Drosophila melanogaster: one gene and its partners. The protein of the gene in region 1 purifies or fractionates together with the protein of each later gene. This does not show direct contact. Each region holds a gene or a part of one and is shown in the gene's direction. Other genes may lie near its edges.

Region 1 (10,772 bases):
ACTCCCAAGCTCCCGACGCCCACGCCAGAAGAACTGGCCGCCATGGAGGAGGCACGAGCTGCGGCCGAAGCTGCCGCAGCTGCAGAAGCGGAAGCCGCAGAAGCAGCTGCAGCGGCTGGCGAAGCCGGACCAGATGGTGCGCCCGCTGCACCCGGAGAGGAAAAGGCACCGGCCAAGGAACCCACTCCGCCCAAGGAGCCCACTCCTCCGCCACCACCACCACCGCCATTCGAGTACTCGATCGATCTGCCCCCAGAGGGTGCCGAGGTGCCCTATGTCAAGAACTACGAGCCACCACCACCCGGATCCGAGCCAGAGCCAGTGCCAGCCGCTGAAGGAGAGGCTGCTCCGGCGGCGGAGGGTGCTGCTCCTCCGGCTGAGGGTGCTGCTCCACCCGCAGAAGGCGCTGTTCCTCCAGCTGACGGTGCTGCTCCGCCAGCTGAGGGTGCTGCTCCTGCTGCTGAAGGCGCTGCTCCTCCTGCTGATGGCGCCGCTCCTCCAGCCGAGGCTGCCGCAGCTCCAGCTGATGCAGCGGCTCCAGCTGCCGAGGCTGCTCCAGCTGAAGCACCTGCAGCCGAAGCCACCGCCGCCGAAGCTCCTCCAGCTGAAGCAGCGCCCGCCGAAGCGGCTCCAGCTGCTGCTGAAGGCGAGGCTCCCCCAGCTTAGGACCAGCTCGCCACATCCGCGCCAGAAATCGCTGCTGCACTTCGACGAAAGAGAAAACCACTGCTACCACATGCTGCCCTGCTTTTAAAAAACCTAGTTAAGAGCACGTTTTTTATTTTTGAAATAACTCAAAACGAAATTGAATTAAACATTCAGTTAGCCAAAGCATTATAAAAACGAAATGCTGCTTTTATTTTCTGTTCTTGCAAACTTTTTGATTTCCTTTAACCACACAGCTAGCACAACTTTGCGAACTCAACTGCTGGCTATTATTTATTTATTTTATCCGAAACCGAGGTAACTATCATTGGTTATTTTTTAAGTTATAAGTTTTTTGTGTAAAGGTCTCAGTTTGTGTCAGGTTTTAAGTGTAATTTTAATGATTTTCAATGAATTTATTTTTATTAATTTTCGTTCCTTACTCTTGCGTTCTTTTATGATTTCCCAAACAACAACTTGAACAGACGACCTCGTCCTGGAGAAGGAGCGCTACAAGGACATCGGAGACGATCTCGACACCGCCTTCGTCGAGCTCATCCTCAAGGAATAAGCGACAACCCGACCTTGACGGACCCTCGCACCCAGACCAAAATCGATCCGCACAGCTATATTTTTGGGCGGCACACCTTTCGATTGTTTGTTACTGTAGTCGCATAATCGTAGGCCCACTGTACTTGTATCTAGTAGCCTGCACTTTTGATTTGTGTGTTCGTAGATGGATAGTTTGTAGATTGATTTTGATCGCGGACCAATTAGAGGGAAGCATCGATGTAATTGTGTATTTGTTTGACTCAAACGTTTTTTATTTATTATTTGTATCCAAACTAAGCAATAAAGCAATCAACTTAAAAACATAAATCCCTATAAACTTGTCACATTTATTTTGTTTATTCCACCTGCTGCAGACGAGGTGAGCAAAGGTAAGGAAAAGTACAAAACCATCGCCCAGGAACTGGAGTACGCCGATCTCAACAACTACTAAGGGAATGAAATCCACTTCATGGGGAGATGAGCAGCAATCACTATGATGAAGACAAATGGAGTCCGAACGCATTCGACGTCCGAATTACAAATTATTTTTAGCATAACACTTCTTCGCCTAAGCATTCCCAAAAAAAAAACAACTTTCTTACATAAGAGCAAGAGTTTTACAATAAAGTAAAAAATACATTTTTAGCAATTACTATTGAAATTTATATGGAGCCTAAAGTTAAAACGAGTTGTGTAACGAAAAGAAACGCTGCCATTTTCCTTGAAACTAAAATTCCAGCTCGAAAAAGTATGTGTAATATTTTGAATACAAAACCCCAGAAAGCCCACCACTCAATATCGTTAATCAGCATCTTCAAATAAAAAACTCAGTTACGCTTAAGCCAGAGTCAATTTTTCTCAACTTTCTGTTGCTTGTGTGTTTTTATGGCAGTTCGCGAAGTGTATCTACAAAATTTCTATGGCCTTTGTATATGTTTAAACAACAAGAATAGGAGATATATTATTAGAATATATAAACGAAGACATATAAATTAAATTTACACATTTGTCATAGCTTTTGTAATTCTATGAAGCGTGCAAAACAAATATAACAATGTATGTATTTTTCTTTTTCAACTCAATATTTTTACGATCAATAAACTGAAATCATTCTTTTGCATATAAAAAATTTCATGGATTTTTTATTTAAACGGTGGGTTGCATTAGTTAAATAATAAAAATATGCACTGATCATGAATCGAATATAAAGGACATAAAGTGTCCTGTTGGTTTCAATCTGCCGGAATATTGTGTATCCTTATTAAAAGTTAATATTGAAATCAAAATCAAATCATGCTTATATCCCAAAACTTATAGGATGTTTTTATTTGTGTTGGAATAACCATATTTGTCACATGTGTGATATTTTAACTCAACATTAAATATTCTTTGGAGCTACATATATAAAAAAAGTTTAAAATAAGCTTAAAGAAGAAGGGTTTTGAAAAATCGAATTTGAAAACTGAATACGTTTGCTCGCCAATTAGTTGTTTTTGAACAGTTTTGAAAATATGAAGTTTCAAACATTTTCCTAAATCAAGAAGAGCTATAAATCAACTAAAATTTGAAGTTATAAAAGTCTATAAATAAAGTGCACAATATTATTGACTTATGTAGGTTTGGCTTTTAAGTAAAATTTATTGCTGAACGAGAATAAAAAGATCGGGAGTACATATAAGTGTAATCCAGAGACTATGAGACATTTGGTGGAATCTTCTTGATATATAATAGTATTAAAGAAGATGTTACGTCACAGAAATATTGAAAGAAGAAGAAAATTGAACTGGATTTTGAGATGAATTGCTAAATGGATTTAGCGAGGTCGGACATATAAATAAAACCCACCATATATATTTATCTTTTAAATATACCTATATAAAAATATACATATATCTATAGAATTTCTTAGTTTAGAGTTTTGATAACAATTTTTCCATATCGTTACTTAATTGGTTATTAAAATAAATAAATTATAGATTTTATTCTTCAGTTATATAGTAAGTTAAGTGGTTTTGTTTTAGCAAAAAATCGAACGGGGACAATTAACACACAAGAAAATCGGATCAATTGCCTTGCATTCGAGACTTTCGAAAGCAAAAGAACGGCAGGAAAACGCTGGCCGATCAAAATTCCAAATATTTCTCAATATTTTTTTACCGAGCGAAAATAGATTTTCATCTTGTTGGACTTTTGCTCTTGCTGCTTGTGGCTATTTTTGGCCGTGTATCTGACGGATACACGCACACACACAGACAGCGAGAGTGCTGTGAGTAAAATATAAATTGAATTTAGATTTAAGAAGCAGAAAGAAAAGCGCATAAATTTCACGAGAATGCAGCCCAAAAGAGAGAGCATCGTATGAAGCAGCTTTTGGGGGAAATTTCGAGGGAAATTTTCGAGATCGCCGAGCAAAGTTGCGAAAGCGCCATTCCACATATACATTTATTAATGGGAAATTTTTGAGGCGAGAAATTATTCAATACCGCGTTGGTGTGTGCCCTCAGTGTGTGTGAGTTTTTCCGATTTTCCGAGTGGCAGTGTGCGTGTGCGTTGGATCTTGGGGTCGCTTTCTGGGCTAAGCAACTTGGTCAGCATCAGTGTTCTCGGGGTTTCGACAGCGTATAGTGTGTTTGAAACGCTAAGGTTGGTCACGCCAGGATTTTCACCCGACAAGAATTAACTCAAAATAAATATAATTAAATCGCTCGCCTTTGCTGCTAACCAAATTGGTATTTTCAACTGGATTTCGAGTGGATAACAAAATTGTGATAAGTGCATGGCATTCAAAATTATAAATTTTGAATTTTCCCCAAACGGGAAAAAAAAGGAAAACCTTGTTAAACTTAAATAAAATGTGCATATGTATATGTGTCAATTAGCCTGGATATAAAGTTCTACAAAAAGTTAAATGAGTGATCCAAATGTAATGGAAGTGAAAATTGCTATAACTAAAAAAATGAATATCTCTAAAAAACTTAAAATGAACGATCTAAACTACTTGAAAATGGAGATCTTATGATCATTTTTCGGATATTTTCAAAATTCGCTTATAAGGAATTTTGTAACTAAATCTGACGGCACCAATACCATCCAATAAATATCTGTGTGTGTGTGAGAGAATTTTTTTTTGCACACACACACATGAGCTTCATTCGGAAAGCTCTACACGAATGGGACACATATACATATGCACCTTACACACTTATGGCACGCACAATTTTCACACACACAATCACACTCGACCGATAAAGTTTTCCTCGAAGAAAATTCTTTAAAATTAACTGCAGACAGACACCTGCCTGTCACACACACACAGACATACGCATTTATTTTTAACTCTGCCTGAAATTTATACGAAAAAGCTTTTCCGTCTAGCTTTCTGTGATCTCAGAAAACGAAGGCAGTCGAGAACTATAGGTATTTATCCTTGAGATTGTTTTCGAGAGAGATATTTTGGAAAATATTAGAGACGTAGACGATTCCCAGATGCGGATACATATGGTATCTATCTGGGAATATATATATTCAAGGCATAGCCACCCACACAGAATTGTAGATTTCAGAGCGAATATTTCTAGCCATTCGTGAATGCGTCCGAAGGCCGCAAAATTTGCCATCTTTAAGATACATATTCGAACTGATTGAAAGCCCAAGTACCTTTGGCAATCACCAAAAATTTTAATGATGTGAAAACTAAGTAGCTATTTAACATATTATAAGTTATTTAAAGTCTTTAGAAAGAAATCCTTTTTACCTCATAAATCACATATTAAACATTGCTTATGTTTTTTTGGGTACAAAACACACATGAGTATCGCAAGACCTCCAAAAGATCAGCAACTACAACATAAATGACTTTGCCCCACTTTGGGTGGTAGCAACATAGATACACGAATTCGAATACGAATACGCCCACACACCAAATGACCCCAAAGAATTGAATACTTTTCAAATTGCAATCGGTGGCGAGCTATGTACATATATATGTGGGGTATTTCGAAATAATAGGGGGAAACTCTAGAATTACATTTAGCACACAATGTCCAAAAAAGCATTTCTCCTATGCGTGTGTGTGCGAGTGGACTGGATATTTTTTTCTCACATGCAAAAGCATATAAAGTTTATTTTTAACCCCACCGAATCGTGCAGCAAATAAACATATAAACATATAGCTCACCGACGGATCCGGATTCGGATTTTGAGTGGGCGTTTTGAAAATGGAAAATGAAAATTACGTGAGATCTTTTGAGAATGCTCGGCGTAGCCGCCAAACAAAATGTGTTTACATTTAATTCTCAAATTTATTGCACGAACACATATGCACAGCATATAGATATATACAATTTAATTATACCTATGGATAACCTATAGAATGCGCCTGGATCGTTTAAATAAACCGATTTTGTCTTGCAGCGGAAACATAAAAATTCTAGAAGTCACAGTAAAGAAACAAAAATGTATAGTCAAAAGAAAAATCCAAGTTCAAAAAATCTGTAATTTATGAAAGGAAATAAACATTGGAATATCTTAGGACCAACGTATATATGTTATAATATATTATTAAGCGGTTCAAAGCTACAATTAGATTTAAATAAAAAAGTCATACATTTTATTAATTATATAATATTATTATTATTATATTATAGTATATATAATATTCTATGCCTTATGAAAATTGCTCCTTAAAAATTGCACATTAAGGATTCAGTTATTCAGCTTACTCATTTGTATTATTTGGCACAGTGCTTTTTTCCAGTTTTCTTCCCTTGTAAGTCAAAAACAAAAACACAAACACCATGGACGCCATCAAGAAGAAGATGCAAGCGATGAAGCTTGAGAAGGATAACGCCATTGACAAGGCCGACACCTGCGAGAACCAAGCCAAGGATGCCAACTCCCGCGCCGACAAACTGAACGAGGAGGTGCGCGATCTGGAGAAGAAGTTCGTCCAGGTGGAGATCGATCTGGTTACCGCCAAGGAGCAGCTGGAGAAGGCCAACACCGAGCTGGAGGAGAAGGAGAAACTCCTGACCGCCACCGAGTCCGAGGTGGCCACCCAGAACCGCAAGGTGCAACAGATTGAGGAGGATCTGGAGAAGTCCGAGGAGCGCTCGACCACCGCCCAACAGAAGCTGCTGGAGGCCACCCAGTCGGCCGATGAGAACAACCGCATGTGCAAGGTGCTGGAGAACCGTTCCCAGCAGGATGAGGAGCGCATGGACCAGCTGACCAACCAGTTGAAGGAGGCCCGCATGCTGGCTGAGGATGCCGATACCAAGTCCGACGAGGTCTCCCGCAAGCTGGCCTTCGTTGAAGACGAGCTGGAGGTGGCTGAGGATCGTGTCCGCTCCGGCGAGTCCAAGATCATGGAGCTGGAGGAGGAGCTGAAGGTGGGTCCTCAAGAGAAATCCTTCTGTTCTCAAACCACTATTCATGGTGTATTCCCAACTAGGTTGTCGGCAACTCCCTGAAGTCCCTGGAGGTGTCCGAGGAGAAGGCCAACCAGCGCGTGGAGGAGTTCAAGCGCGAGATGAAGACCCTGTCCATCAAGTTGAAGGAGGCCGAGCAGCGCGCCGAGCACGCCGAGAAGCAAGTGAAGCGCCTGCAGAAGGAGGTCGACAGGCTAGAGGGTATGTATCCAACTTCCTACGCCCCTGGCACATTCACTCAGCCATTTTCCGCGGAGGTATCTCTCCACGGGACACCGGAGATGCTGTCCACCGGAAGTGATCCGCCTCGAACGGCCGGATCGCTGGCTTCAACTAATGCTCGCATTGTATTTATCGCCATAAGGATATTAATAATTGTACTTAGTACTCTGCTTTCATTAATTGACGTTCCACATTCACACATCTCGCTCGCTCGCCCTTTTTTTTGAATATCTCTCTATATATATATTTGTATAAATGAACAACAAACAAATGCTTTTTGCAGACCGTCTCTTCAATGAGAAGGAAAAATACAAAGCAATCTGCGACGATTTGGACCAGACATTTGCCGAACTTACTGGATATTAAAAAAGATCACAAACAGAACTCACACAATGCCCTTGCCTCCCCCCCCCCCCAACCGCCCCTTGCCCAACTCCCCCAAAAAAAGGAACACTCTCAGTACATCCCGAATCCCACACAGTTTATTATATATATATATATATATTCTATATTATATTTTTGGAACGATTCCCCCAACAGTTTCAGTGTATTTACCACCCAGCCCAACACGCCACACTTATCTATACACTGTAAATAATCTGTTTAGTCCCGCTTGAATGTGGCCACACCCACACGACCAGTTCCCTACGCCAGTACACTGTAAAAATAAGTTCAGATCAAGCCAAACCAAGTTGCAACTGTAGTTAATACAGGTGAATTTATCAATGTAAATATTGTTGTTTGTATGCCAGATTCTTACCCGTTGTGATGTGGCATGACCTCTTGACCCGTCTCGCCTTCGCACTCTATCTCAGTCTATGTCTCTATGTCTCTCTCTCTCTCTCTCTCTCTATCGTCTCGTCGATCATCAGTGGCTTTCGTTCGAGCCAATTTCGCCCAGGCCTTGGTCGAGGGATTCTCTCAAGGATTGCTGCAACGATTGGTTGGATAGATCATGTCCACATCCCGTAGAGCACCCCATAGATAGTCCTGTCCCCCACCTCCCCTGAAAACCCACGCACAGAACCGCTGACTAACCCAAAAGATCAAAAGATAGAAACGCCTGCCAGAACAGCGCGCCACTAATCCTAATCAATAACTCCATAAACTTGGTACACATGGTGTAAAGTTTGAGTGTTTTTCGTTTCAATTCCAATGTTAAAAAACCATATTTTTGAATATTTTCTAACGCATTTCCAACCACCATTTGCACTCCGCAGACGAGTTGGGCATCAACAAGGACAGGTACAAGTCCCTGGCCGACGAGATGGACTCCACATTCGCCGAATTGGCTGGCTACTAAGTTGGCCAACAGTCCCATTATACCAAATCCACACCAGCAGCGGAGGAAGATGGAGACGACGACGAGATGGAGAACTCTACTAATTGTAAACGAATATCTCAAATTGATTTGGCCAACACGAAGATCGGCGGCCGCAGATACCAAGAACAACAACCATTGTGTATGCAATTCTTTATAAATCTATATATTTCATAATAAATAAATAACAACAACAAACAGATCAACAACAGCAACAAAGCCAACGAGCATAGAAAGCAAATGGAAATTCTTTTGTTTTATAAAAAATAAAATTATCTAAAGTCAAAAGTAGCAGAATGTATAAAGTAAACAAAACGAAAACAAGAACACGAATTTTGTATTTTTAAAATCAATGTTTAAAAATATTAAGAAGCGCTTGCAGTCAGGCAATAAGAGCGAGAGAGCTAGAGAGAGTGCCCAGGAAAGAGACGGGGCTAAATTTAAAATTTTAAGATCGCGCTGCCTGCTTTACTTTCAGTTTATATCTTACAATTACACCACAAACAAACAAAAAAACACCCACAAAAAAAGTATAAAAAAATTTATAAAAACTTTGCTAAAAAAAAATTATATGTTTGATGTTTGCTTTCAATGATGCACAAAACCGAATTTCTTTGCCCTTCAGCGAATCGCGCTGAAGTTCACTACATTTTTGGCGGATATGCAAAGTAGTCTTCAGTTTTTTCCACCGATTTCTCATACTCTTGGGAAACCCCATGGATGCTGGGCCGAAATAACCAAGTCCGAAGTGCGTCACCACTTCATCGGAGATGGATCACGATCCGCAAATCGAGGCCTTCATTGCAACATCTTTAGCATCCGCGCTAATTGTCAAAGCAATGAATAATGAAAGTTCAGTTATCTGTATATATATGGCATATATACACATCCTCAGGGTGATTTCCAGATATGAATTGTAGATGTGGGCAGCTCGCCGTTTTGACCATCAATAAGTGAGTTAAGGCCGCGTTCGACATGTGGGTCTGTTGCTCTCTTGGCCAAATGGACTTTCTTGTAAACTGAACTCGAATTGAATTTCCATTTCTCCTCGCTCTTCTCGCGACGTTGGCCATAAAATAGTTATTAAATCGTTAAGTGGTGTGTTAAATTACCCACTTAAAGCGCCAGTCATTATTTACATAATTTACATTATGGTATATGGAAGCTGGCAGATATGTTCATCTTATGAAAAAAAAAGAAAGAGTCATTTCGAGTTTAAAAAAAAAAACTTTTGTTTTTAGCTTTTAAAAAGAAATATATAGAGAACGGTTGATATTTTAAAAGCTGTTATCTTTAAGATAGAAGTTGAAATATGAATGATTATTCCATGTTTATATTGCCCGGGGAGGAACTAGAAAATCGCCTAAGTTACTTTCTTAGTTAACCGCATTCAGAAAGTCATTCCTCACAAGTCGAAGAACACCCAAATGAACATGGCACATCCAGCACACCAAACTCCATTTCATTCAAGTTTAAGCCAGCAGTTTTCGCTTCAATTGACAGCCGCGTCAATTACCTAAGTCTGGGCCAATTTGGTTGGAGTGCAAACAAACAGTGGGTCGGACCGGGCCGGTCCACAAAAGCGGCGAGCGGAGCAGTAGAGATGCCGATGAAAAGCCCAATGACTTACATTTGCCCACCACAGCCAAGCGAAGGAGAAAGTGAAATTTTGCATTTCTCGGCGGCCGGCAGCAACAACAATGGGTCTTCGGTCTGGTTGGGTCTGGTCTTGGCCATTGCCATTGGCATGGTATTGAAGCGGTGCGACGGTAGCAGGGAAGAGGGGAAGGAAGAGGCGATCAGCGAGCGGAGCGGACCAGGCCCAAAGTCAAGCGCAGAGCTTCAGTCGTGGTTTTCAGCTCGACCCAAGCGAACGGACGTCTTTGAACAGCGGACGCGGCATAAACCGCACGGAAAACGCAACGAAATCGAAAGTGTTCACCACGCGACTGGAATCGCCAAGTGCTTAGCGAGGCGGGGGCAATATACCCATCCGTAAACATTACGTGTCACCATGCCGCCGGCTGGTCAACAACTCCGGCTTACGGCCCTTGTTTATCTGGCATTAGGTATTGCACTCTTATGCAATGGCAGCGATGGTGAAACTAGGCAAAAATACGCCAATGAATCACTCGCGGACGCAGACGATCCATCTCCAGTTTGGTCGCAATTTCTCGAAGATTACGTCTTGAGGTATGGTTACAGGAGGCTAGGCTAGGGCAACACACTCATCCAGATCTTCCCACGCGTCTGTCTTACATATAGCCAAGGCAGCAGTAGCAGCGGCAGCCAGCGAAAGTCCAAAGACCTGCCTTATATGGGCGCGGACATGGGCATCAATGGACCGCTCAGCTATCACTCGTCCGCCTACAAGCGACCCGGCAACAATATCTACATCACCAGGAGAATTGGCGAGGCGGTGGAACTAGAGCCGCATCTGCGAAAGCCCGTGGAGAGCCAGAGTCCCATTGTGAATCCTCAGTTCCGACCCATGACCAATCAAATGTTGCACCAGCAACACCAACAGATGCAGCAACAACAGCAACAGCAACAGTTGCAGCAACGCCAGCAACCGGGTTTCCTGCAGCAGCTCTTTGGCATAG
Region 2 (6,130 bases), about 15 Mb from region 1:
GGCGTTGTTGGTTATTGCATTTAAGAGGGCGTAATTGCATAAACCTTTGAAATTGCGCTTGAAATGCCGCTATTCTAGGGCACAAAAACCGTGTGCAAAACTGTAATGGCCTACTCTCCCACTCTCTCTCTCTGTTTTTGTAACTGCATTGGTAACGTGCGCAGCTCTCGCCGCCATAGTAACGGCATTTGTTTTCGTGTAGTGCCGTGTGCAAAAAGCATGGTTCACCATGCTAGCTCACTCGGCCCGTAAAAGCCGTGTGCAAAGAGCGCCTTGAAATGTAACAACAAAAAGTCAAGCTTATTTATACCGCAATATTCATGGAAATGAAAGCGAAATTCGCATTATTTAATTATGAAAATTTATGTATAAAAACTGGTTATCATTTCCCCAAAGCGCAACGGAAGTATCAATAACTTTTAAATCAACTGGTTTGGTAACTTCACTTCATTGACGAAAGAGAGTGAAAGAGCGTCAAAGAGAAACGGCGCATGCTCTTTTCAACGCATTACAAATGTTTTGCTTCTCTTTGCGTATTGCGTCGAAATTTATTGTTTTTTTTCCGATGACCTGCCTTTGTTTTGTTTGAAATTCTGATGAATAAAACGTAACATTAGTACTTACACTTGAAATCTCCATAGGCCTGGGCCACCACGGCCAACAGGAGCAGGCTAGCAATTAGTTTCACCATCTTTGATCGTCGAACGTAGTCTTTACACAAAATCACAGAACAAAAATTTGTTTTTCACTTTAGTTTGATTTGCTTGAAATGCACAAATGAGAATGAGGCGACTCGAGTTGAGCTACAATGTTAAATAGGCGTTGAAATTGAAAATCTAGCTGCCTTTACACACACTGGCGCAGAAGGCGTCGCCTGCTTCAATTTGATGGGCTTGATTGGGATTATTTTCGACTTCTCGAATGCTTTCCAGTACCTTCTGCTGACAGCTTTAATCTGATTTTTCAGTGGAGCTAAGGCCTTTCTACGTTGTGTTTTAGCGAACTCGAAAGCGAACTGTCGCTCCGAACGGCGCACAAAACACTTTTAAGCGCGCGCGCTCTCGGTTTTTCTTCGTGTGTGTGTGAGTGATGGGAGAGTGTGCACTGTTATCTTTTCAACATGTCGCCCGTTCTTTGTTAACCGTTTAAATGGCTGATAATTGAATATTCCCGATAATTGCCGCACTCAATGTGATACACACGTCCTCAATATGGGTATACTTTGTATAAAGTCGGGTTTCCTAGTCAGATAATCCCCACTTACTAAGAAGTAAATTTATCAAATGCAATATGGCCGCTCTTTTGAGATGCGCATCAGCTGTTCTTTGTTTTTGTTTTGGCCGTGGGAGAGCACCACGTCATGTGTTGCCAGGCGGTTTAATTATTGCTGACAATTTAATTCACATTTTGTCAAGTTGATTTGCACGTTCGAAGGGGGGATCAGTCACCCACTTTGATAACTGCTAATATGGCGACGGCTCTTTTTTACGTGTCGCTTGCAGAGCTCCAAGAATGACACTTGATAAGAAGGATACATGGTGGGAAAACTTACAAATTACATAATTTGTTTGTTGATTGGGGAAACCCTACATTATCTCCGAACCCAGCAATAATATGTATTGTAAATAGCAACAGTCTCAAGCTCGATGCTGCTGTGAATTACCAATATATCAAAACTTAAAACATTATCTTAGGAGGTAGATGGTTTATCTGCAGTTTATTTTCAATTCTCATCGTTAGCTGATAAAACTCTCAGGAAACCACTTGAAATCCAAAGTGCAGCGTCCATATTTTGCACACGCTGACAACCCTGTCGTGAGTCACCTTCCAGCAGGCGCAGCAACAACAGCACTGGCAGCGGCCATATTTGAATGACACCGAAATCCCGCACTGAGCGCAAAACAACACATGCCCATGCACGCTCTCCAAAACCACACACACACAGCCATATCGATCGCATAGAAAGAGACGTACGCGACGCTATAAACAGCAGTTGATTTTCAGAGTTTCACCAAGAAGCACATAAAGCGATTGAATTATTAATAAAAGCACAGGCACTGGAAGTGAGTTTTAATATTACTAACTAACTACTTTGTGAGTGTTTAGTTACGAAAACTAGAAAATAATATTCTGGAAACTGTGTTTTTAAACCGACCACCATATAAATTTAAAAACCAAAACATTCCATTGGTGGTGGTTTTGTTGTTAAAAAAGAGCACAGAAAATTCAAGAAAACGCTACGACGCAAAACGAAAAAACTCGCCCAAAATGAAAACAAAAGTGTCTGTTTTCCAATTGTCAATTGTTGTGAAACTAATTTCCTTTGTTTTCGCCTCTCGAATTTGATTTTAATTTACAGTAAACCGTCGACATGAAATTTTTCGTTGCACTCGCTCTCTTTGCGTGCCTCGGCTCTCTTGCCTTGGCCAAGGATGATGAATATTGCCAGAACACTGTAATCACCGCATGCTCTACGTCAGCCTTTTCGGGTGAGTAAAGAGAGCGCCTCTAAGAGAGAGTGGCTAATCTGTGTTGTTGCTTTTTGTATCTTTGTAAAACATAATAATAAAAACAAGCGCTCACGGGCTTTTTCACAGGCAAGAGTAAGTGAAATATAGATTGGATGTATTTCTGCACTATCTCAGATTTCGTGAAAATGAACACTTTCCAATTCTTACTGCATTACGGCCCTTACATTATTATTTTAAAGATACAAATACAAATTCAAAATTCTATTGCCTTGTTTAGTATGGCACTACCTAGTTAGGAACCATTAAGACTATGTCATTACTATTGGATGTGCTTCTGCTCTCCTATTCTAAGAGTGTGATCTTTATTATTTGCTTTTTCCCCGTAGCCAACTCCATTTGTAATGCCCGTTTTGCTGGCATTGACCATATTGAGCCCGAGATCCAGTCCTACATCAACGCCAACTTGGCCAAGTCGTACGACTACCTCCTGCTGGCCACCCACTTCAACTCCTACCAGAAGAACCGCCCCGGCTTCCAGAAGCTGTACCAGGGACTCTCGGACCGCTCCTTCGAGGACAGCATTGCCCTGATCAAGCAGGTGACCCGTCGCGGAGGAATCGTTGACTTCAACACCCGCCACGAGTCTTCCGGCTCCGTGAGCACCAAGCGCGGCACTCTTGAGGTCGACGAACTGCACTCCCTGGCTCTGGCTCTGGACACCGAGAAGCAGCTGGCCACCGGAGCCACTCACGTGCACTCCCGTGCCACCCACGCCACCGACGCCGAGAGGGATCCCGAGCTGGCCCACTACTTCGAGGAGAACTTCCTGGGCAAGCAGGCCGAGAGCGTGCGCAAGCTGTCCGGCTATGCCAACGACCTCGCCAAGCTGATGAAGGTCCCCGACCCATCCCTGTCCGTCTACCTGTTCGACGAGTATCTGCAGAAGCAGTAAGGAGTGGAGACCACCTCCTTTTCCTCCTTCTTTTTCTAACACGCTCCTACACTGTCTCCTCAAAATTGCTCTCATAATTCCCTTATAAATTTGTTTCCTTGGATTGTTCATCAATAAATCGCAGTGCAGCAGCAGCATTATCAAAGCAGCCACAAGTGAATAATTTACACCGCGAAATTCACCTTGATTTACCAGCACACCAGATTGTGATAATGTTATCATAAATAAGTTAGCAAGTTCGCCCCAGCAAATGTATCTTTAGTATGTACGTTACCGCTTGAACAAATAATAAACACATCAAAGAACCTAATTATCAACTAGTAAAACAGCAGCATTTTTGCCTCTCTGATAAGGTTTGGGTTTGGGTCGAAATGTATCTGGTCCTCAATGAGGGGCGTCTGTTTGCGTTTTTTCTCCGAGTGCTGCTGATTGCGGGCTGGCTGGCAGTGTACTTTGGATATCATATGGAACAATGAAATATACAAAGTCGAAATGGTATCGGAAACTACTCAGTTCTGCGATCACAACGGGTGTAATGTTCCATAATGTTGTGGTTTCTGATATTCTTAGAATGTGCCTTCAACTAAAAACCATATGTTTATGTACAAGCCATCAACGCTTGTCTAAAAATAAATAAATAAATGAGAATGTAAACCCATGTTGTAAATATCGTAGTATTGTATGCAAACTACGTTACCATTTTAAAATCATCTTTTTGACCATTCAGAGACTGGAATCACTTAGGATCTAGTGGGATCTATCTATCTCAATATCAATTTATTACTTTCTTTCAATTGACAACCTAAATCGATGGTGAAAAGTGAAACCTATCTCTCGCAGTGATCTGTGGGGCTTAAAGGAGCCCGACTATCTAATCAGTGATACACTCCTCCGCCGCTGATACGAAGGGGCCACGTTTGTCATTCCATGCGAGATTCTCTCTGTCGCCTTATCACTGCCTGGTGCACACGGCTTTGCCGCTCCGGAACCGGAGCAGATCCGCCGGGCGCCATCTTGGCCGTCTGCTGACTAAGTCGGAGACTCCACGATGACGTGGATGTCACATTGTTGCGTAAGCCGATGCAATCTCGGATTTTAATTGTCCCCTGAATTTGCATCGCAGTTTCCCTATCTTCCTCTGCTCCCTCCTCACTCTCCTGACCTACAATAATTGTTGTGAATCCCTATTTGTGAATATGAGTTTTTTTTTTATAATCCACATGGAAGCTCTATTAATTCTAGGAAATTCCGTAAGATCCTATAACAGCTGCTCAATTAACGTGTGAAATAGGTAAAAATGTATCTTTAATCACTTTTGAAAGTGGTTTTCTCTAAGCATTTTCTGCGGCATTTGAGTAGCTATTGTACTATGCGACTATGGATCCCAGCCACGCATCGAAGCAATTTATCAATTAGCGACGCCCATTCAATGAGGACTTTGCTCATATCGCCGCACATCCGGAGTACGGATACGGTCCACTAGCACGTGAAATGAACGTCAATTTGCCATTTTAATGCCAGGGGTCAGGGGTCATCAAATCACAGCATCCGTATCTGCGGCATTAGGCGAATCCGTGTAATAACTGCGTGCTCTTATGTAATTAGAATATGACAGCCATAAGAGAAAACTCCATTCGGAATCATAACAGTTAGGACCAAATGGGATTCAAGTTGATGTGGTTTTGGGTTGGAATAGTGCTTGGATCGCTCCGAGTGGGTTCTTCAGTGTCTCCGAGTGCGTGCAGCGGTCATTAAATAATAATCCACTTAATATTAATTGCCCTGATTTGCGGATGGATGCTGCCTCAATGATTTTCGTTATGTCCGCTGGATGCACAGGGAAAAAAAGAGGGTAGTCAAGTCTTGGAACCAATTAAATATAAGAATATAAGAAGGGATACAAGCTTAGTAACTTTGACATTTTTATATTGAAGGAATGATCAAATTAAGGCGCTCATTTTTATAGACCATAAGATTTCTCTAAGTGTACGGTAGAGAGTAGGGTGGCTAATTGCGGTCATTTGTGGTGCATTTGGCGAGGATCTTAACTTCGTCATTTGTAATTGTTTGGTCATGAGCCATCGCACAAATTATGTGGTCCTAAACTGGTTTTTCGAAGCCATTCCACACATGCTCTAAATGGCGGCTATAAAAAGGTGTCTTTGCCCCAAAATAATTCTATTCATTTATGCATTTTAATAAAAGCGTCAAGCAATTACAAAGGGTTGTGGTTGAGGTGGCAGGGGTTAAAAACTATTTGGGAGGCCAGATGTTGTCAAAGGATTCCGAATATTTTGGTTATTGTTCGCCATCCAGACAACTATGAATATGAGAATGTGTGTGGGTGTGTGTCTGTGTGTGAGTGTGTGAGAGTGTCCAGGACATTTGGGCACACATAATATGTATGCAAAATAGCAATTTAATTTCGTTTTATTGCAATGCCATTTGCAGCCAGTGAAAGGCAGCTGCGCCGACAGCTTCCGCCAGGCTCCCATAAATAATCCTTGAACCACTCCCCCCCCCTCTCTCACGACCACTTCTACGCCTGTGCAATTTTAATGAAAAGTCTTGTCTCCTGTCCCTTTGTTTTTCGCCATGTTTTCGGTGGCAAGGCAGACAGGCAGGCCAAGAAGCGAAATTGTTTGCCATTTTTCATTAACAAATTTTTACTGGCGCGGGACTGGGACTGAATAAACGTCCTTATCGC
Region 3 (4,835 bases), on another chromosome or scaffold:
CTACCCCACGTTGGGTCCACCCCTGCCCCAATGTCATCCGCCAGTGCCGGAGCATATCCTCAGTTCGGTGCCCTAGGAGAACTTCAACCCGACCAACCAACAGACCAGACCGTGGGGCTAAGTTTTAGCCACTTGGCGAAATTGCAATTAAATATTTTCATTCCGCCAAATGAAAATTTATTAGTGGTTCTGGGTATCTGGTCTGGGTCTTCTGACTCGTGCTGCCACTTAATTGGGTTTGTTTGTGTCTGGGGAAAATTACGAAAACGAGGCATAAAGTCGTGCACTTTGAGCTCTGTTTGCTGTTTAGTTCGTTGCTCCCGAAACAAACTCTACTCTTGACTAACTACTTTTGGGGCTTAAGTTGGGGGAAACCCTTCAGCATCGCACTTCACATTTATTGTTTTAATGAATTGCCCTTGAAGACACGAGAGTTGATCCGAGAGATCAAACTGTTGCAATATAATACAAATAAAAAACCCCGATTGTCACTTTATATGGCTATCATATCGTGATTACGCTAAAAATACGGCAATACACGACTATTATTCTAATTATTATTACCTCTTTTAACCATTACGTAATCTTCGGATTTACTCCGAGCAGTAAGCCCTTATCTATTCAGCTTTCAAAACCAGAGAACTGTAATTTCTTTACTAAATATGCGAATTCATCATTTAAATTACTTTAACCCCTGGAGGTGAGCTACAGAATACACTATTTTTGTTAGTTCAGTTTTTTTACCGCAGCATCTATGTTGATAATAGTGTTTCGTTATTTCTATTCGCCTTTTAAGATGAGTTCACCATGCTAAATTTACGTTTTTGATATCCAAAGTCTACAAGAGTAGCTCTGTCTAAATATTCTGAAAGCGTTGTTTGGTTTGCCCAAGTCCAATCGCATTTGCATTTCTCCAACTTAGCTTCGCGTTGGAAATTTCCGGGTTGCTTCGTCAAATTTTCTAATACTCGGTATTATAAATATTTATTTTGCGCAATTACATAATTTCGAATGTAGGGCGCCTTATCAAAAGCATTTAAAAAAAACCTTATCACGTGCCACGTGCTTTGCATTGATAGCCGGTAAAATGGAAATTATAGTATAAAATAAAATTGACTATATACCTGTTACTCGTACAGAAAGTCGACTATAGCGTTATCTCTTCACTTTAACTATATATAAATATATATTTAACTAAAAAAAATGCTTACAGAAATATTAAAATATTTGGTCTTTAATGAAAAAAACAAATAAAAGTAGATAAACAATTCCGATTGCTGGATCGAAAGGCCTTCAGAACAGCTTAGCTATGCGAGCCATTGAAATGATAAGCACACATTGTAGGATATGTATATTCCAAATTTATACAGTGGTAATTCCATAATTATTTCTTGTTGAAATTCAAATTAAAAATATTCTTAAATTATATATTTAAATCTTTGTTACGGGCCAAGTGCTAGAATACTGGATTCGAGGATAGGGCAATACCATTAAGTCCTACAGAGATTAACTATTTGGCGGTTGCATAAAGCGGTTATCTTCTGTGACTAAACAAATGTAGACATTCTTGAGCCAAGCAAACGCTCAGCTGTTATGCGAAGCAATCTATTCCAGCATGCTACGGAAAAAAGTACGCTTATCACGGGTCAGCTCCGTAGCTCTAAACGCTCGGCCTTCCTAGTGCCGATAAGCCGGTCTCAAATTCGGCCGGCTGCGGCGCAAAACGAGGTGTCGTTATGAGTAGTTTGGCAGAGGTTCAATCAGTACTCAAGTCATCGTTCTCTAGTTCAGAGTTCCGCAGCAGTTACAAAAAACCAACACAAAAATGGCCAAGCTCGCAATTTGCATCCTCGTGTTCGCCCTGTTCGCCGTAAGTAAAATGCTCAAAGTCCTGGCACACAGATGCAGGACCTATTTTCAGAGATAAACTACAATGTGGCACTTTGATTTCAGTTGGCTCTGTCCGCCCGCGTCCCCCGTGAGGAATCCAATCCTGCCCAAGAATTTCTTACCAAGGCCCAGGGTGATTTCAACGAATTCATTGAAAAGTTGAAGGCGTTGGACGCGAAGAAGGTTGAGGTAATTATAAAGCAATCATATCAAAAATAAAGCGAGTTCTAAGTAATTAATAGTCATTTTTCGTGGAGACGCTTAAAACTCATTCTATCCACTACATACGTATTTTCCATAAAGTATTTACGAATTTCTAACTAACAACTTTTCTCTCTGTGTAGGGTCTCTTCAAGGATGGATTAAATACCGTGCAGGAGGGTCTGCAAAAACTTAACGAAACATTTCTTCAGGCACCAGCCGCATCCACCTAAGACGTTGTTGGATGGCCATATATCATTACATTGAAAACGACTCCAATAAATGTTTTAACTTTAACTTTAGTTGTTACATACATGAAAACTAAAAAATGAAATTAAAACGTTAATTGTTTTTAGCACAAAAACATATATTTGCCTATTACTTTAAAAAATTTTTCCATTCCACTTTCTAGAATAGCTATTTTATTACCTTAAAATTGGTAAAATTGAGATGTTTAGATTGAAAGATGATTTTTTTATTTATATTTCTTTTATTCTGAGAAAATATGCTTCCACGCATGAATTTGACTTGGTTAGGATAAAATTATTATAATTATGCCAATTTTTATTAGTACGGCCACCGAAAATGGTTAATTGCACTTCCTACAAGCTAAGTTATGGAACTTTTCTATACCGTTTTCACTGTGTTATTAAAGATTTTAGATGCTGAAGAGTGCTGATCTCGCTCTTCTTCGAAGAAAATTGCAGAAAATCAAAAATTATTGCCATGATTTGAGTTTCGTAAGAACAACTGGCTTTGAAACGGTAGCACGCGTGAAATATTTGTCAGCTATTTTGCACACCTGTTTGGCGCAGCCAACTCGGGGAATGGAGGACGAAATGTGAGGGCTTTCGAAACCATGAATAATGTATTGGCATTTGTACGGCATCGCATCTCGGGGAATCCCCTCCGATCGCCCAATCTAACTTCATCGCCGCGCACGATTGCATAATACCAAAGTGGATTTTTGCTTCTTCCAAGGGATTTCGTATCGAGCTTTGGGCCAAAAATGTGGGTTGCACAAACGGAAGTTTGCAAAGGCGGATATTGCCAAATTGTTGCTTAGACATATATTATGTAGTCGTGCTTACCTGTGTGCTCCCATCAACGGACATCCTTGTCCAATTTCTATGGCATTGTTGCGTGAAATTTATAAATGTTTTTGTTTCACTTCTAGAAGGTTGTCTTATTCAAACCCGCCGTGAGTTACTGGTTTACTCAACGATTCGAACTGTGAATGGAATGGTGAATTGTCAAAATTTGTGAAATGAATGAAATATGAAATATGTTCTTAAAACTAAACCGTTCAGAAAAGTAGGAGTTTATTTTTTAGTGCTTTTAGTTCGTTTTTTAATTATTTATCTATTAAAATTGTATTAACTACTGCTAAACAATCGCAAAGAAAGTGGCCAGATATGAGCGGGTGGGATGCGATGCGATGCTCTGCTCTGCGGAGTTATGGGAGTACAACCAAGTTGGAAAACTCTCCTCCTCGGCACTGCAGCAAACAGTTCCCACAGCAACAATATGGTTGCGATGTCACGCAGTGCGTGCGCCAGTGTGAGTGCATTGTAATGCTAATTTAAATAACGATAAGCTCAACAACAGCACCAGCTACAACTACAACTACAACTACCACTGCAGCTGCAACTACAACAACAGCAACTGCATCTACAACAGCGACAACAATGGCAACAATAATACGAAAACAATTTGGCATTCTGTGATTTTGTCATCCTTTTACGATTGTTGTTGTTAGTTTTCCACTCTCTTCCATTGGGTAAAAGTCCTTTTACTAGGAGATTGCTTTCCAAAGTGCATAATTAAATGGCATATGAAAAAGTTAAGATATTTTTAAATATTTTCTATTATTTTGAAAACCCATCTCACTGTTTTGAGCTCTATTAAAATTATATTTGATTAAATTACGCGACAAATTCTTTTATAATGTTATTCGTAAACTAGAGTATTAAGTCTTCCTGCAGAAAACCCAATTTCCTTGCACTCCTTTTTATTGTTGGGTGTGCAGCATCTGCAGTAAGCCAGACACCACATATATGCACACACATCTGGCCATATTAGCGTGCGAGCGGGAAAAACAAATAATAAAGCCACTTGCGCATAAAGAAGCGAAAACAACGGCGAAGGCAAAAGTTTCGCATGCAGCAGAATCCTGGACGAAGGGGAGGCAAAATGCAGAGGGGGTGGCATTATCCTTTCTATCACTTGTCACATTTCCGCATAATGGCGTCATTGCTGCTGCTGCCTGTTGCGAACAATGAATACATTTGTAATGTTAATGGAATGCAACGGCAACTGCGAGGAAACCGAAACGAGAACAACGCCAACCATTTTCCGTCGCCCATTCGAGCTGTTGACGCCCATATTTGTTTGCGTTTATCAGCCAGTTTCTGTGCGCCACATAAAATGGGGGCGAGGAATGCGGCTTTTCCAGCCACGCCCACACGCACTCCACGTAGGACTTTGCTTCGTCAGAAAAATGTTGTTGGTTCGGTGTTCAAAGTTGACGGAGGTGCCAGTGTGATAACTTGAACGTATTACATATGAAAAAAAGACGAAATCATTTTACTTGACATTTAGAAAAAAAAAAACATTTTAAAATTAGGATTGAAATACTAAGAAATCAATAAATTTATGTGGCCTCAGGAATGTTTAACTACTTAAGAAGAAGACTACTAACAATCAACTAAGATTAATTTATTTCACATTTTGAAACATTTCGA

Evidence for each region. Proteins that work in one complex are often made in the same cells at the same time.
Region 2: the proteins of Tm2 (region 1) and Fer2LCH purify together in Drosophila melanogaster (affinity purification with mass spectrometry, with the first as the bait; one large-scale study listed by BioGRID). This does not show direct contact.
Region 3: the proteins of Tm2 (region 1) and Nplp2 purify together in Drosophila melanogaster (affinity purification with mass spectrometry, with the first as the bait; one large-scale study listed by BioGRID). This does not show direct contact.

The regions. Positions count from the first base shown.
Region 1 is NT_033777.3:15,306,460-15,317,231, forward strand, and holds Tm2 (tropomyosin 2), read left to right. Parts: upstream 1-3,785; 5' UTR 3,786-3,840; intron 3,841-4,217; exon of another isoform or gene 4,218-4,614; intron 4,615-5,575; exon of another isoform or gene 5,576-5,735; intron 5,736-5,916; exon of another isoform or gene 5,917-5,940; 5' UTR 5,941-5,993; coding exon 5,994-6,587; intron 6,588-6,649; coding exon 6,650-6,827; intron 6,828-7,131; coding exon 7,132-7,214; 3' UTR 7,215-7,561; intron 7,562-8,068; coding exon of another isoform or gene 8,069-8,151; 3' UTR 8,152-8,738; downstream 8,739-10,772. Other genes in the region: Tm1 (tropomyosin 1), read left to right, coding at 1,131-1,216; CG14866 (uncharacterized protein), read left to right, coding at 10,184-10,362, 10,435-10,772. UniProt on the Drosophila melanogaster protein: Tropomyosin, in association with the troponin complex, plays a central role in the calcium dependent regulation of muscle contraction. May also regulate motor systems required to maintain nuclear integrity and apico-basal polarity during embryogenesis.
Region 2 is NT_033777.3:30,386,840-30,392,969, forward strand, and holds Fer2LCH (ferritin 2 light chain homologue), read left to right. Parts: upstream 1-1,990; 5' UTR 1,991-2,063; intron 2,064-2,299; exon of another isoform or gene 2,300-2,359; 5' UTR 2,360-2,371; coding exon 2,372-2,489; intron 2,490-2,576; coding exon 2,577-2,603; intron 2,604-2,857; coding exon 2,858-3,423; 3' UTR 3,424-3,745; downstream 3,746-6,130. Other genes in the region: Fer1HCH (ferritin 1 heavy chain homologue), read right to left, coding at 264-272, 625-691. UniProt on the Drosophila melanogaster protein: Stores iron in a soluble, non-toxic, readily available form. Important for iron homeostasis. Iron is taken up in the ferrous form and deposited as ferric hydroxides after oxidation.
Region 3 is NT_037436.4:13,354,774-13,359,608, forward strand, and holds Nplp2 (Neuropeptide-like precursor 2), read left to right. Parts: upstream 1-1,602; 5' UTR 1,603-1,825; coding exon 1,826-1,870; intron 1,871-1,953; coding exon 1,954-2,079; intron 2,080-2,234; coding exon 2,235-2,324; coding exon of another isoform or gene 2,325-2,423; 3' UTR 2,424-2,450; downstream 2,451-4,835. Other genes in the region: CG17687 (uncharacterized protein), read left to right, coding at 1-76.